3 linked regions of the Drosophila melanogaster genome follow. Changing the gene in region 3 together with the main gene of any one other region gives a genetic interaction. Each region holds a gene or a part of one and is shown on either strand. Other genes may lie near its edges.

The links. Genes that interact genetically often act in the same process or in processes that back each other up.
Region 1: of ago (region 3) and sima, changing one suppresses a phenotype caused by changing the other (phenotypic suppression), as found in Drosophila melanogaster (one study listed by BioGRID).
Region 2: of ago (region 3) and puf, changing one enhances a phenotype caused by changing the other (phenotypic enhancement), as found in Drosophila melanogaster (one study listed by BioGRID).

Annotation. Positions count from the first base shown.
Region 1 is NT_033777.3:30,061,337-30,066,437, reverse strand, and holds the start of sima (uncharacterized protein), read right to left. Parts: upstream 3,517-5,101; 5' UTR 3,361-3,516; coding exon 2,900-3,360; intron 1-2,899. UniProt on the Drosophila melanogaster protein: Functions as a transcriptional regulator of the adaptive response to hypoxia. Binds to core DNA sequence 5'-[AG]CGTG-3' within the hypoxia response element (HRE) of target gene promoters.
Region 2 is NT_033777.3:24,646,528-24,651,640, forward strand, and holds the start of puf (puffyeye), read right to left. Parts: upstream 3,517-5,113; 5' UTR 3,160-3,516; coding exon 3,117-3,159; intron 3,019-3,116; coding exon 1,981-3,018; intron 1,864-1,980; coding exon 1,152-1,863; intron 1,076-1,151; coding exon 166-1,075; intron 105-165; coding exon 1-104. Other genes in the region: ash2 (absent, small, or homeotic discs 2), read left to right, coding at 3,702-3,817, 3,878-4,062, 4,123-4,467. UniProt on the Drosophila melanogaster protein: Ubiquitin hydrolase that can remove conjugated ubiquitin from target proteins and polyubiquitin chains. Essential for Myc-mediated cell growth and proliferation in developing eyes and wings.
Region 3 is NT_037436.4:4,250,678-4,256,318, forward strand, and holds the start of ago (archipelago), read right to left. Parts: upstream 3,630-5,641; 5' UTR 3,451-3,629; intron 3,376-3,450; exon of another isoform or gene 3,312-3,375; intron 2,401-3,311; exon of another isoform or gene 2,350-2,400; intron 1,375-2,349; exon of another isoform or gene 1,305-1,374; intron 1,164-1,304; 5' UTR 1,125-1,163; coding exon 1-1,124. Other genes in the region: CG1265 (uncharacterized protein), read left to right, coding at 4,138-4,291, 4,359-4,618, 4,933-5,053, 5,123-5,253; CG15011 (uncharacterized protein), read right to left, coding at 5,397-5,641. UniProt on the Drosophila melanogaster protein: Substrate recognition component of a SCF (SKP1-CUL1-F-box protein) E3 ubiquitin-protein ligase complex which mediates the ubiquitination and subsequent proteasomal degradation of target proteins. Probably recognizes and binds to phosphorylated target proteins.

The sequences.
Region 1 (5,101 bases), on a different chromosome or scaffold from region 3:
TAACGTCTGTTTCGGATTCCGAGAATAGCCGGCAGTCACACGTTCCACTGATAAAAAGTGGCTAAGTTGCCTTGGCACCAATTTTCGTGGTGGTGGTCTTTTGGAATATTTCGCCAGGGGATTGACAAAACACCGATGATTTGGCAATTAGCGACTCTGCAGAGTTAGTTGTCTTCGCTGGATGAGTAAGTCCCATTTAAACCCTGGGTATCGACTCGTCTACATTGGCGACGTGTTTTAATCGGCAACCAAGCAGGCAAATCGATCGTACACACTTGTAGGACGACAGAGCACTGACCTCACACACACGACTGACACTATCTTTATGCCAATACGAGTATATTGCGGGAAATTCTAAGAAAAGACGGATGGCCCTCCCGCGGGACTGCGGAAAAACTGTAGTCTGCCAAGAAAATCTCTTGAGTAGCCGCATGCAAGAACATAACTCGTGGCTCTTAATATTTTCTTTATTATCGATATAGTGGGCGAACTTGTATAATCCACGGGTGACGCCCATTTCAGCACGTATGTACATTTATTTCCTGGCATTTTGTTCAAAATTTGCCAACGCTGCTTTATTGATCCGCTGGGATGAAAAAAGACCTGAACACGTCAGGTGGTTCACTTGGGAAAATCTGCCCGGTAACAACGCGAAAATATCAAACTTTTTTGTTAACAAACCCTAAGTACCGCCTGTCAACGGAGGAGTCGCAATCATCAAAAGTCCATCATATCAGCCGACAAAGTCACAGTACAATATGATCTATTGTCAGTCTGCCGCCTGTCTAATAATGGCTTAAGTATCTATTAAAAACAGTATTCCCGTTTTCTTTTACTGTAAGTAAATAAATTGAATAAATCGAAGCAAACTACTTAGTTGTTGAACATAATCTTCTATTATGACATATTTAAATATGAGATAGGACCCCACTAATCGATCGATTGTAAACAGAGGAAATCTTAACATAAACAAATGCTAAACTTGACTTTGCACTCGAAAGAATTTCTATTATTAAAAGAGTATTCTGAACGCCCAGATAAAACGTTGATTAGGAAACTCTGTGAAAGTGAAGAAACAATGCATTCAAATAAATCAAAAATAAATAAAACAGAAACCAGTTTAGATAAGAGGGCTTTTCATTGTCAATCAACCAACTGATGGATGGAAACCAAAGTTTGAAGCGAAACTCGAATGGCTGCTCAAATAATTATTATATAGTATTATATTACTTCGCCAGCAAAGTGAATACTAATATAGGCGTAGACCCGTGGATTTCTATATATATTATATATGCATTAATAAACACAAATCCGATAGTTGCTAGCTCGTGGCCCATAGAAAGCGGCGGAGAGTGACTTTGAATTGCATGCTAATGGCCTGCTTAAATGGTGGGATATTCGCCGGGGGGGTGGGGTTTTGGTTTGGGAGGTATGCACATACATATATATATTTTCGATCGGCCCCATTGTCTGTTCATTAGAACAGAGGCAAGTACGGCATGTTAAATATTCTGCCTGCGCCAGCAGAATTGCCTTGTTATTGCCGCTGGTGCTGCTGCTGTTGTTGTTGCTAAGTATTTCCGCTCCAAAGCAGCTCAAAACACTGAACAAAATTAAGCTATAATATTGAAAGCACACCTTAATATGTGTACTACCCTTCCGTATGATGATTATAATGATGTAGTATGCTGATCTTAAGATACCATTTTCCGCACTTTGTGTATGAAATGAGTTTGAATATGCAAACACCACGATCGCCGCACGTGGCCATCTAAGTCCTGCTGGCTTATCCGACAACACCTTAGGATACTGACCCGCTGTTGTTTGAGTTTGAATTGCGAGCATTGCGAAATGTTGGCCAAGCTACCTCCAAGTGCGCCGTATCTCCGGGCGAGATATCAGCGAAAACACATAAAATACGACTCGAAGTGCTAATGCCAAGTTCATGGGACAGTAAATCGAGGCGCAACAGCGGGTCAGGGATGTTTGGTCTCTTCTTGGGAGCACCATATTGTGGGTGGAGTTCTTCGGGCAGCGCCGTCCTGCAATTGCGTCAGTTTGGTTTCGGCTCATTAGCATGGAGATGGGCCAGCCGAATTTGGCTTAAACGTGTGCAAAACGTAAATAAACCAAATCCGACTACCATTACGAAAACATTTGCTTGCTGCGCACGTTGCATGCAAAGTTTTCAAGGAGGTGAAGTCCAGGGAAAGGGGCTGTAATCTGCGTCAATCGCCAGATAATCGTATACATCAACCAGATGGATTGTGAAACCTTCAGCAGACCCCTAACGATAACTCCTTGGGAAATACCCCACATAAAATCATCGGCGGCAGATAACAATTACACAACAGCACAACTGACAAGCAATTTACTATTTCCACGCAACAATCGAAGTGAGAGAAAAAGTCTTTTCCAGCCCACAATCTTATAAACGGTACCTCTCTTGGGAATAACCCACCGAACCTTGACTCATACGACACCTCTCTCGCGCCATAGTTCCGTCCCCCTCGCCCTATCTTTTGCTGCGTATCTAAATATTATTATAAAAGCGATTCACAAATAAGCATAGATAAGTGCAGCGCCGTTTGCTTTCGGCTCGGGTTTTACAATGGAACACGGCCAATTTTCTAGGAGCTCAGCTCGTTCAGGTGCCTCCAGGAAAATGTAAATCGCTAGCGGCATTCGGCCACCGATTCTAACTGGTTTTTGTTTTGTTTACTTGAATGAGCTAGAGCTCTCCACAGTTATGTAACAACAATTATTAAGCAAAATTGTGTAAATATTCGTACTTGAATACTATTTGATAATGAGATTAAGGAATACCCTTCGTGAAAAACGCAAAATCACAGAATTACCCAAAACAACAAATTGACCAACCACTTTGGTCGTCACTCACATGAAATCCTCGATGTCGACAAACTGGGAGAACTGGCAAGGTTGAGTGTTCGTGGGCGCGTAGCCATAGCAGTAGGCGTAGCTCCAGGGGCGGCTTTCGCGACAGGGCGTGGCCACGTTCAGAAGCGATCCCCTCTGGCGATAGAAGGCGTCCTGGGGCTGCTGCTGATGGTACGGATGGTACCTTTGCATCCCAGTGGAGGACATATTGGGGCCGAGCATAGCGCCCACGAAGGGTTGGCTTCCGGGAGCAGGGCCATTGTAGAATGACCCGTTGCCAAAGTTCACAGTGGGTTCATTGATGGGCATTGGCCCAAAAGCTGGGCCATTTCTGCTCAGCTGCCGCTGCCGCTGCGGCTTGGAATCGCACTCGTAGAAACTAGAACCGGGGATCACATCTTCGCCGTAGAACGAAATGTCGCCGGTACACGAAAAATCGCAGCTCTCGAAGGAATTAAACATTGAGTGCGCTGGAATCCGGCTAAGCCCATCGATGATGAACACACACACGCGTGCGATAAGAGCTGATAGTGTTTTGATTTGGCCACAACTTCACTGCTCCGGATATTTTGGTAGAACACGACGTACGGGAGTTCGAGCGCTAAATGAGCGAAAGGTTCCATAGCCTCGAAGCCATCATATTTATACCTGGGCAGCCGCACCAAAAAAAATCGCAAAAGAGCGGAGAGCCGACGTGAACGTCATATTCCGTGTGCTATCAGACAAGTTTGCCTATCCGGACAAGTGCGCTCCGGCCGGAGTGATAAGATAAAGTCCGGTCCGCCCGCCTCGTAGAAGCATTCAGGTGGCAGGGAGCCAGCGCTTCGGTTCTGCCCAATGGGACGATAACAGCGAATCGAGTGAGTGGCGGATTCAAATTAGAGCCATATAAATTATGTCAGTGCGCCCCACTTCAGTCGATAATTGGCTCGGACCATATAGTCTACTTTGCAGCGACGCCGGAAAATTTCCGCACGTCCAGGACCCATTTTCCGCCCATTTCCCTCGCTCACAAAGTGCAGTGCACGGCAAAGTCATGTTATAATTTTAGAATCTCTGCACCGAGAAAACAGTGCCACTCACTTCGAAGTGAAAATTTGATATAATATTCCAAAATTTTGAGTATTTAACCGCAGAACTGATGAACCATTTTTAGGTATTTCGAAAACTAACCAAAATTCGCACACACAAAATGAGAAGAAATATTAGAGAATTGATCTTTTTCACTGTGCGAGAAAAGCTGCTTGGATGACTAAATACTATCAGACTTATCCATGATTTCCCTAGTCGGCCGATAAGAACTATAACATAGGAGTTAAATATTTGGATTAGTTTGGCAAACAGCACGGAAAGTGAAACGAGATAAGGGAAGCTAGTTCCCCAGACCAAGCAAACGTAATCAAATCGCAATGTAATCAGCTCGTGGAGAAGGCAAAGGAACAGGCAGGGTCAACTTAAATCACTACGATAACCCCTTGTTTACCTGTTTATGCTACACCCGTCTATCACTAAACTATTTCGATGTTTAAATGTATTTCATATAAAAAAACAGTAAAAGTAGTTATTAACATTGTGAGCTTCTTGGGCTTCTCTTTTTGCAGATTGCCAGGAGTCCTTGTGATCGTTAGCTATGGTCTCATCTTGCATCATTCAAGGACTATCTTATAGAAGGTCTGTCAATCCTTTAGGTTGCTACAGTAACACCCGACGACGACCAATTAATTCGAAAGATGTCGTAAGAAGTTCATTGAGTTGTGGCAAGACCAGTGGTTAATACTTAATCCAAAGGAATAGCTGTTTACAACAGAACATCGTAAAGATCTTATCCATTCCCAAGAAAGAAGTTCCTTTGTTCTTGTTAATGTTGTTAGCAAAAAAATGACTTCCAAACAGGTTTCGCAATAATCTTAATCCGAAATTTTTGCTCATTTCACAAAACCTGTGGGGAATTTTCAGCGACTGATTCCAATTTATCGCCTTAAATATAAATTTAAACTTTCCCTGCCAGCAATTGCCGAATCATAACTTACACCGAATGCGATGCATATAGACCTCACACGCAACTGAACAAACGAAAAAGATTCGGAAGCTGCGCTACCTTCACGCTGTCTCCCTCACTCCGCTTATATACGTCTCTCTCGCTGCATCAAGTTCAATTTCATACAGAGAAAGAAAATTAATAGACAAATATATTGAATATGGT
Region 2 (5,113 bases), on a different chromosome or scaffold from region 3:
CAACCCTCGATGAATTTCGTTCGCAGTTGGCGGTCCATGCTGAAGCACAGGAGAGTGGCCAGAGCTTTCTCCGCCTCTAGAGCCAGAGACTCGCCTAGTTGGCCCTGCAAGATAAAATTAACGTTACATAGGATTCAAGGACAACGAAAATCCAACACAACTTACAATTTTATCGTCTTGAAGCAGATCCCAAAGCAGTGTGTTTCCGGGCTGGCAGACATCATTTAGCTTGAACGAGGGCTGCACCGGTGTACTCCCGGACGTAGAGCTGCCCTGGCTCGCCTTTGGTGAATGGTGCTGCTTTCCGCCGGAAACCACATCCATCAGATCGACATCTGAGTCCGATTTTGCCTTGGCCGCAGCAACCACGGCGGCAGCTGCAGCAACGCTGGCCTGCCGGTTCATTGCCACCAGCGTTTGCTGTGCAGTTCCGGTAGCCGCTGCAGCAGCGGCCACAGCAGCGGCAGCAGCAGCCACATTCGACTCTCCAGACTTCTGAAGGGCCATCGCCGACTGGGCCACCATCATGGCGGCGGCAGCGGCTGCAAAGGCTGGTGGAACGTCCGAACAATTGGCGCGGGAGCTGACCAGCTGGGCCAGCTCCTCCTCGCAAGGCGACACGTCCTCGTCATCGAAGTCAGCCAGGTTCTTTTCAGATTTGTTACTCATCGGGGATGAGTAACTGCCATCGTTCTCGGCACCACTGAGCAGCTCATTGATATTGGTCTCGATGGCCCTGATAAAAGGTCCCTCTCCCTGCAGATGCTTTAGCACGGCGTCGGGTACCAGCTGACTCGTAGCACCATCGCTGCACTCATCGCTGTCCGCTAAAAGTTCGCCCTCGCCATCACCATCGGCTTCGCCATCAGCCTCGTCACTGCTGGGCACATCTTCAACTCCGTCCCAAATCTCGACCAGCTCATGGGGCAGAATGATCTGTTTGTTGGTTTTTTGTCGCCGTCGCTTGTTGCTCGTCTTTTTGCGGCTGCGATGCAGTTGCAGCTCCAGTGCGGCCCGCGATTGCAGCTCCTCTTCACTGCTTGTGTTGTCGATAATGTTCACAATCCGTTTGTTCCTGCGTAAATTGGTAAAATAGGTGTTACTTATTACGTCAATACATTTCAGATTTTAAGAAGAACTATTTTACTTACACCAAGTCTACTTTGGCCATATCCTCGGGACTTATTTGCTTTCCCTTCTCGGTGGTGGGGTCACAGATGTGCCGCCTGTGCCGGGCCTGCTTGCATGGAGTAACTCCATCGATTGGACTCTTGTTACCAACACCTCCGCCGCCGCCACCGCTGGCAATGCTACTGTCGTCGGCGCCCACGTGGTCGTCCTCTGTGTTGCTGCCCTCAATGCTGCCGCTGTCAGAGCTGGAAGCGGTGACGTTGGACCCCAGCAGGTGGTCTTGCATCAGGTTCATCTGACTGCGTGAGGTATCACGAGTCCACAGCTGTTTTGTTAGCGCTGAGGCTATGTATATGCTCTGCTCAGTGTGCTCCTTGGGATCCATGCGGCAAAGGAGGGAGTAAAGGTGCATTGCCGGGCGCGGGGTCAGATTCTTCACCAGCGAAGGCAGGATGTCGAAGATCGTCTTTGAGCAGTGCTTCAGCTGGGTGGCTTGCCAGATCAGCTTGATGTCCTCTTCAGAGATCTGGTTCTCTACCGCCAAAAAGTTGAGCAGCACGTGTGCCTGTTTAACGATTTCTACGTGCAGATTCGGGCCAAACAGGTGCTGTACAATATGATTTTCAGTCAGCCAGTTCGCGATGCGCTGCCCGAACAGCTCCACTTCGTTGACCGTTTCGGTGGTGCAGATCTCGTTAAATAGATTAATGTGTGCGTTGATCTGGGCCATGCCTGGAAAATATTTGAAATCATTTACTCTTATTATATAATATTTATTGATAAATAAATATAATATTTCAGCATTATTCGAAATGTCCTAATTAAGTATGTCAACATCGTAGGACATACCTGCCAGTCGCATGGTTAGCGTGGTCGATGTGAAGTACTTAAAGGCCAGGGCCAATCCTTCGGTGTCGAAGTTGACAGCAACATCCAGTGGGTCTCGCATAGAGGACCACACAAAATCGGCCATCGCGCGGGTTGCGGCAGATCGGAGGCTCTGATCCGACAGCTTGCACATGTACTGCAGTATCCGACTTCGCAGCGGCACGAAGAGCTGAGTATTACAGTGATAGTTCAGCCAAAGTTTCACATTTGAGACGGCAGCGGTCATCGAGTGAGCGGTGGACACTGGCAGATCGGGATGTTCGAAGCACAGCGACATGGCGCCAAAGCCGCCCGAGTTGCAGAACAGGCTCACATTCCGCAGCAGATAGATGGGCAGGTCGTTGTCGTGAAGATCGCAGATGAGGGCCAGGTGGTGGGCCTCCTCAGCCTGCAGGTCGTCCAGCCGAGAGTGCATGCCATGTTTGTGGGCGATGTACAGCGGGAAGTTGAGCAGGAACACCTTTGAAACGAGCACCAACAGTTTCTCCACCTCGGGCAGGATCCAGGGCTCCTCTGTGTACTGCAGGTGGGATTTGTGCTGAGGATTGGCCGTTTGCGGGGGAGGGGGAGTGCAGGGGCCAACTGGCGGCTTTTTGGCTGGCCCGTCGCCGGAGCCCTGAGCCTCCTCACCGGCGGACCCAGATGGCTCCTCCTTCTTAGGTTCTTCCGCTGGCGCGGATGATTCCTTTGCCTCTGCCTGGGCTGACGCTTCGTCCCGCTGCTGTTCACGCTGCTGCTGGGCCTGGGCCACCACCTGGGCAGCACTGGCCGTTAGCCGCTTGTAGTTGTCGATGAGGTGGTCGATGTGCTTCAGATGCTGCACCGTCAGACAGATGAGCGACTGCACTACCAGGTTGAAACGGTCATAGTTCTTGGTGTCCCGGTACAGGCACATGCACTGACGCTGCGGCCACGACTGGATGTAGTTGAAGGTGGTCTCGATCTCGCTCTTCAGCAGCAGCTGGAACTTCAGATCCGAGCTGGCCACGCGCACCTCATCTGCAAAAGGAATTCGGAATACTATGTGTAAGCAGGGGGCAGGGGCTCCGGTGTTCGTCTTCATTCTATTTTTTTTTCGCAGTGCACTTTTCACTTACAGAGCTCCAGGAGATTCTGGAAGTCGGCGCACACCTCGCACATGGTGCTCCACTAGCTGCACACCGAATCGGTAGCTTCCAGGGGTTAGGGCCGCCTTGCCAGCGGCGACGACTCCTGGCCGTCTATGGAGAGTAGTCGGAGTCTGGGATACGCTGGCGGAGTCACGGTCTGAGTTGCGGGCACTTGCTCTTCTTGCTATTCGTTGGTCGCTCGGCTCGCTCCCGGCGGTCGTGCAATGCCATTTAGGATGGCGCCCTCGCCTCTCAACACGGAACACTGTTTTTCGGCAACAAAAAAATGATAATTCTACACTCGGACATATATATATGGTAGGGATATATATATATACAATTACAATCGAAGCAAGAGCCAGAGTTGGAGCGAAGAGGCAGGGGCAGGGTTGTCAGGCTGTGTGCTCTAAATGTTGTCGTCTATCGTTTATCGCTCTTTGGCGACGTTCTGGTATTTGCAAACGCACCATGTGTTTGCCCGCCAACGGTCACTCTGGCCAGCCACCGAATTTCTTGCGGGCCGCTAATATTTGTTTACATGCTAATTGTTGACTGAAAACCTTTATCACTGCAATGGAGGACAGCCAAATGGACACAAGCTCGCCGACAGAGTCCAGCTCCGAGGTGAACTTCACTGCGGAGGAGGATAAATCGCAGGAAACGCGTTCCGCAGCCGGCGTTTGTTACTGGTGAGCTCTTTGTATGGGTTTTTTGCTTGGCCGGCTCCCTTCTATTGACATTGTTTTTAGCGGCAAGGAGCGCAATCTCAATATTGTGGAGCTGCTGTGTGCCACCTGTTCACGCTGGGTGCACGAGACCTGCGTTTCCTACCAGCTTGGTAAGGGTAAACTTCTGCCCTTCATCACCAACTATGTGTTCGTCTGTAAAAATTGCTCTGCCAGCGGATTGGAGAGCTTTCGCAAGAGCCAGGCTAGTAAGTGCAAAGAAGCCCCGCACATTTATCCCTCTTGATAATAACAATATCCACTTCCAGCCATATCCCAGATGTGCCACTGTGCCATTGCCAACATGCAGCAGGCGGCTTCCAGGGACGGACGTCGCCAGATTCAGTTTAGCAAGGACAAGGAGATCATACCGTACATCGAACAGTACTGGGAGGCCATGACCACCATGCCACGCAGACTCACCCAGTCCTGGTACAGCACCGTCCAGCGATCTTTGGTCAAGGATGTGCAGACCCTGTTCACCTACGAGGAGCATGCGGAACATGGCGCCATGTACGGACTATTCCATCAGGATCTGCGAATCATCAAGCCCAACTACGAGAGCATGAGCAAGAGCGGCGCCCTGCGACTCACCGACGATGGATATACTCAAGGTGAGTGTAAATAAGATGATAGACATTTAAATCGATTTGAAGTCTATAATTTGAATGCTAAAAACTTGACCCCATGTGTTATCGAACGCTCAGTGGTAGAAAGCTAAATGAATTATCTTTTGGCGGCCAAATTGGCAACACTGTTCGACCAGCTGATTTTGGCACAGTGGTTTTTGTGTCGCCTATTCCGCTGCCTATTCGCTCCCCCTATTTATCGCCGCTTCCTTTCGCACGCTCTTTCGCAAGTGTTTGCCAGAGTAAAGTAACAACAACAACTAACAAAATCGCAATGCGGATCGTAGTTTCAGATTTGCACACACACAGAGAAAGAGAGAGAGAGAGAGAGAGCCCCACGTAGTCAGATTGTGGGCGGGGCGAAGTGGGGTGGGGTGGGGCTGGCAGAGGCGCGCTCAACTTGGCTCATTCATTACAAACAAATAGTTACGCTTGGAACACTTCGCCAGTGTCTCAGTGTGCGTGTGTGTGGTGCTCTTTCGGGGGAATTGATTGCGATTTGATTTTGAGCACTACGCAATTGCAAGGCCCCCGCTCCTTCAGTTCCATTGTGACCGGGTCCTGCTTCTGCTCCTGCTCATTCTCCCTCCGCGATGGCGTCATCTTTTACGGACGAGGAGTGTAAGCCCGG
Region 3 (5,641 bases):
ATGCCGCCCGTGAGACGCTGCTCCGTCTCAAAGTCGCGACGCTCGATCAGATCCATGGACTCAATGTCTGCCCTCGACAAGGCAGAGCTGGAGGTTGAGCTGGAGTTGGAAGTGGAGGCCTCCTCTGGGGCGGCGGCGTTGGCAGAGGCTGCTGGCGAGGGATTCGAAACGGTGTTGGCCGTGAGGCTCATCTGCTTCAGGCGCACTGACATAAGACGGTCATGTAGTGAGAAGCAAGTAGCCCCATCGTCGCCTTCAGATGGATTGTCGTCCACGGGATTAACCGGCTCAGACTTAATACATCTTCCCAAAGCCAGGTTCTCTGCTTGGTCTTCCTCACCCAGCAAGAACTCATCGCTCAATCTTTTTGGCTTGCCTGTGAGCTCCGACTGGGATCCCGTTGTGACTACCTGACCGGGATGCGGCTGGGCCTCCTCCACGACGGGCGTCTCCAGGAAGATCTTAGATCCATCGGCCGCCATGATGGTGCCGTCGGCTAAAGCCAACTGTGATGTGTTGGGGCAGCTGATGGCGCCCGTTACAATGTCCACTGCGTCCTCGTCCTCGTCTTCAATCAGTTCCTCCTCATCGTCCTCCTCCGGCTCGGGTTCCTCATCATCGTCATCGTCGTTTATAAGGCATACAACCGGAGGATCTTCATTATCCTCATTAAAAAAGCCCTGACGACTGTGTTCCGATGAGGCGGGGTGACCTAAGTCAGGATGACCACCGTTCAAGGTATCCGTGGAGGAGCTGTCGTCGACGGCCACCACTCCCACTGTGGACGCCGCCCCCGCACTGGTGGGCAGTGAGTTGGAAGAGCTAATCTCAAATGTGCTGGACTCGTCGTCCAAAACTACGGCGAAACCATGTTGTGAGTTTGACGACACACACACGTCCTCCACATCCTCCCGCAGCGTTGACATAGATACAAAGGCTTCTCTGCCGGCTCCTACTTCTGCGTCTACTGCTCCTAATCCCGATTCTTCTGATGCTTCTGTTTTTCGGCTGGTTGAGGCCTGACTCTTGACCCACGTGGAGGTGGAGCTGGTGACTGCTGACTGAGTACGCTCCCCTGCACTGGTCACGGATTCACTGCTAGCAGCTGGGCATCCTCTTTCCATAATACTTTACAGGCATTCAAAAGTGGGTAATGCGTTCTCCTGCAAATGTTAAAGATTGGTTATCGAATGGTTGGAAGCTGGTAACACGAGGAAGCACTTATGGAAAAGTGAATAATAGTGTTGAAAATAGACGCTATGAAAATTTCAAACCCAAGGTATGACAAATTTTACACCGCTTACAATGAACGATCCTTTTGTGCCCTGAGAATCCAAGATGATCCGAAATTCCCACGCAACAAGCGCAAACTGATGGTTGCAAAAAAAAATTAAATCCAAGGGAATGAAAAGCAGTGGGAAAAATTTGTTGTAACGACGCTGCCTCTGCCGGCGTCGTTGGAACTCGAAAAAGGAAATCACAAAAGTGCATCGAGGAAGAGGCTAAAACGGCGCGAAGTAGAATGGGCAAAAGAAGACGAAACGGGTATTACAACAAAAACACCACAAACAGACACACACACATACCCTAAAAAGAGAGACAACAGCAAAAGGTATTGTAAAGAGAGTGAAGAGCGAGAAGTAACGGACGTGAGAAGAAGAAGCACCAAAGATACACAGCAGCCGCAGCACCAAACAAGAACAACAATAACAACAACACCACGTACACCTTGCAATTCAAGCCGCTATCTTTTCCCTCCGCTTTTTACTGACTTTCAGAGATGATCAACGCGGGAAAGTCACTGGTGATCGGGAAACAGTCACCGAACTAATAGGAAAAGCCTTCCAAATAATTTTTATACTAAAGAAGTGTATGACCATATTCAAATAGTTTCGACACCCAACTAAAGTTAAAATGTACATTAGTAAATCGTTTTAATAAACTGCGTTGGTTGTTACTAATAGAACTGTGAAATCTATAGTCACGAAACATTTCTTGCTGACTAGAGCTGAGCCAAGCCCAAGCTAAGATTACTTCTGCCAATATGCTGAGTCACAGAGTTGTTGACTTTCCAAAATACATACGTATTAGTCATCCATTTTAAAAAGTTACATTAAAACGTGAGTTTTTTACATGGGCTATATAAAATCGCAAACATTTAGTCGAAACCGAAATTCCAAATAACAAGATATTAGTCATTCTGTAAAACAAATTATTTGTGCAAACTGACTTTCTTTTCCTGGAGAACGGAAAGAAATCATTAATTATTAGGGCTAAGATGTTTGTAAATTGTATGATAGTAGTCCCTATTCTCTAGAAATTCATTGATCCTAGCCAGCTTCCATTCACCGTGACTGAAAAATCGCAGCTGCGCATCTCTGATGTTTGACAGCAGCTTGACTGGCCATCACATCCTACCAGCGCACAGACACACACACGCACCCGAGAGAGTAGAAAAAGGGATCGCCGTAGGCAGAGATTGGAAGATCCAGGGGAGGGGACAAGAAAACCAAGGAGAAGGAGAAGAAGCAAAGATCAGCCATTGCAGCGCAGCATCCGCAGAACAAAAGGGGCGAGATCACAAAGGAATTTTCAGCGCTCCTGCTGTTGCATCACTGCCGAAACAGATCAGATGTGCAGGCATTTCTCCCGAACATTTTCCCATATTCGTATTCATTCTCTTCCCACCCTCCTTCTACTGCTTCTCCTCCTCCTCCTCCTTCCCCACCCCTGGCTCGTGGCCTTTGGCTGTTGACCTCCCGAAAAAACGTAAAATATGTTTTTAGGGTCTCCGCTTTCACACCGCATTTCGATACGCGTTTTTACCTGTGCCACACAGGACACTTTGGTCGAACATCGGGGATGCGCTCGAGAACATTTTCTCTCTGTGGATTTAGCCACGGGTGTGGAGTCGTCATAATCGCTGCATACACACAGACGCACACCAACGCGGATAATGGGCAGAGACCTGTGGTCCCAAATCCCCCAAAAATAGATTACTTTCGTTGCAAATTCAGAGCAGCGATTGCAGCACGCTGAGCGTTCCTTACGGACTCTTTGACCATCCTAACCCCACTTTTCTGCACCTGCAAATGCAGCGGTTGGAACACGGAGGGGATAGCCCCATAATTCGTGGAGCAAACAACAAAAGAAAAATGTGGACATTGTTGTACACACAGGCAGAGTCACGCACACAGACGAACCCACTCGCTCGCTCGCTCGCAGCTAAAGTTTGAGTTCGCGTGGTGCCTTGCACATTGTTTATAAACTTTAAGGGCAGCCAACGTGGAGGGGGCACTAAAAAAACACACCCCACTTTAGCGGGCACAATTTGTTTTCAGGTTTTCAACTGCACATTTAACGCGTGTAAAACTTTTTGCGTTTGGGGCCCACTCTCACACATACAGGCGCAACACAGCACACACACGTTCAATCGAATTTTTCACATACGTTTTAAGGACGTTGCTCCTCGGAGATTGCCTAATTTTTGCGTTTTTCAGATGACTCTGTACCCAGTCTATCTAAATTTCTGGTTTTCAGATACTAGAATATGCGTGCAATTTGCGGATTTGGACAGATTTTGGACCCGAAAAAAAACTAATGCGGATCCAGTGTGACCACCGCTCGACCGTTCAAATATACCATGGGAATTCACGGCTTAAGTTAGGGATGTGATGGTCTCCGCGTGACTCGAGCTTGGTTTTAAAAAATGTGATACTCTGCAAGTTGTTTATATGTATGGATTTCATGAATTATTTATGTGTTGTAATAATAAACGTGTTTCTTACACAATTTAATTGCTCAGCAATTCTACTTTTCTTTTTTGATTGCTTATATTTTATATTATATTTTTGATTGCTTAATTACTAAAATTATTATATGTTTAAAAAACTTGTTTCTATTTTCATAGTTTTTAATTTTTATACTTATATTTTATAACTTATAGAAATTTCTTGAAAACCCTAAAAATGACATGAGTTTGTTATTTATTGCTATGTTATAAAATAATTAGAAACCATTACAGCAAATATCGTTAATTTGTTTACTAGTGATAGAGTGTGGTAACACTAGCATTTCCGTCCACACAATGTTAAGGTCACACTCAGAAGCTGCAAATTTCGAATTTCGACGGTCGCTATGAGTGGAGCTCTCGGAGATGTGGTGTCCGAATACCTGGAGCGCGGCCCAGTGCTCGTGGTGGCGGACCTCCTTAGCCTGATAACGGTCTCGTCCTGCCTGGTGATCAAGGTTCCGCAGATAAACACGATACGGGCGAACGAGTCCTCGAAAGGTGAGCACCGCCCACACAACATCTGCAACCTATCCTCCCACTCATATGATACGGATTTATGAATTAGGCATCAGTGTTTTGGGACTGTGCCTGGAGCTGTTCAGTTATACGGTGATGTTGTCGTACAACTACACCAGTGGCTACGACTTCCTCTCGTACATGGAGTATCCTGTTTTGCTGCTGCAGGAGTACGCCCTGATTTACTACGCCTTCAAGTACCAGGATCTGCTGGGAAGGAGGACGCAAGTGGTGGCCATACTGTATAGTATAGTGGCCACTCTCATATACATGAAGCTCTTTCCCATTATCATCCTTAAGTTCCTGGTGGTGAGTAAGCCTGTATTGATATCACCTAGTGACTGATTAGTCGGGTATTCTTGCCCAGATAACGACTTCGGCGCAGTTCAAACCCGTTCCCCGCTCTCTTTTCCAATTAACTAATTATGTTTCCGGGCAAACGGGTTTGGTTTGATTTGTTATTTGTTTTAGTTTGAAAAGGCGGTGCTCTTAACTGGGCAGCATCTTCGCTCAAGGTCACCGATGTTTGTTGTATAATATTTGAGCGGCTATTAATACTTTCAGTGCTCGGGCAATATATATAAATCTCGTGAAATTCATCTAAATGTTTGATTTCCCGTCAGCCTTTCTGCACTCCCATTGGAGCCACGAGTAAGGTCCTCCAGCTGCTGGCTATTCTGAGGACCAAGGATGCCAGTTCCGTCAGTAGAACCACATGGGCGCTCTCCGCCTTTACAAACATGAGTGAGATCACATCTTGCATTCCATCACTTGATGTCATCAATTAACACATCATATATGTATCCCTTACAGCTCGAATCTACACGGTGTTCTTCCAGTCCCACGATTGGATGTTGCTATCAAACTTCCTGATTTCGACGTTCCTTAGCGCCTCCGTTTTCACCGCCGCTTGCGTCTACAAGAAGAAGGCCAAGGCGGAGTAATTGGCCAGCCTGATTAGAAAAGCTCAACATAGACAAACACTGCGCTGGCTGGAAATGCTTATCAGTCATTGTTTTAATTCTATTTGCTTATCTGTTTAAATTGATATTACAAATTCTTGTTTGAATCGGTTGTTGTTACTCGTTTAACTGTCCGCGTAGAAAGCCACCACAATTGCACCCACAACTGTTAGAATGGATACTGCATAGATTGCTCTACGTTGCCAATCGATCTTGGTCTTGGCCGGTCCAGAACCCACAGTTTTGCGCTCCTTGTGCTTGCGTTTGCCGAACTTGGCCTCGAACTTCTCGAGTTCCAGGCGGTTTCTTTCTTCCTCGTCGCGACGCTTTTGTTCCAGCTGCAGTTGCTCTGCCGCCTGGACGCGAATTT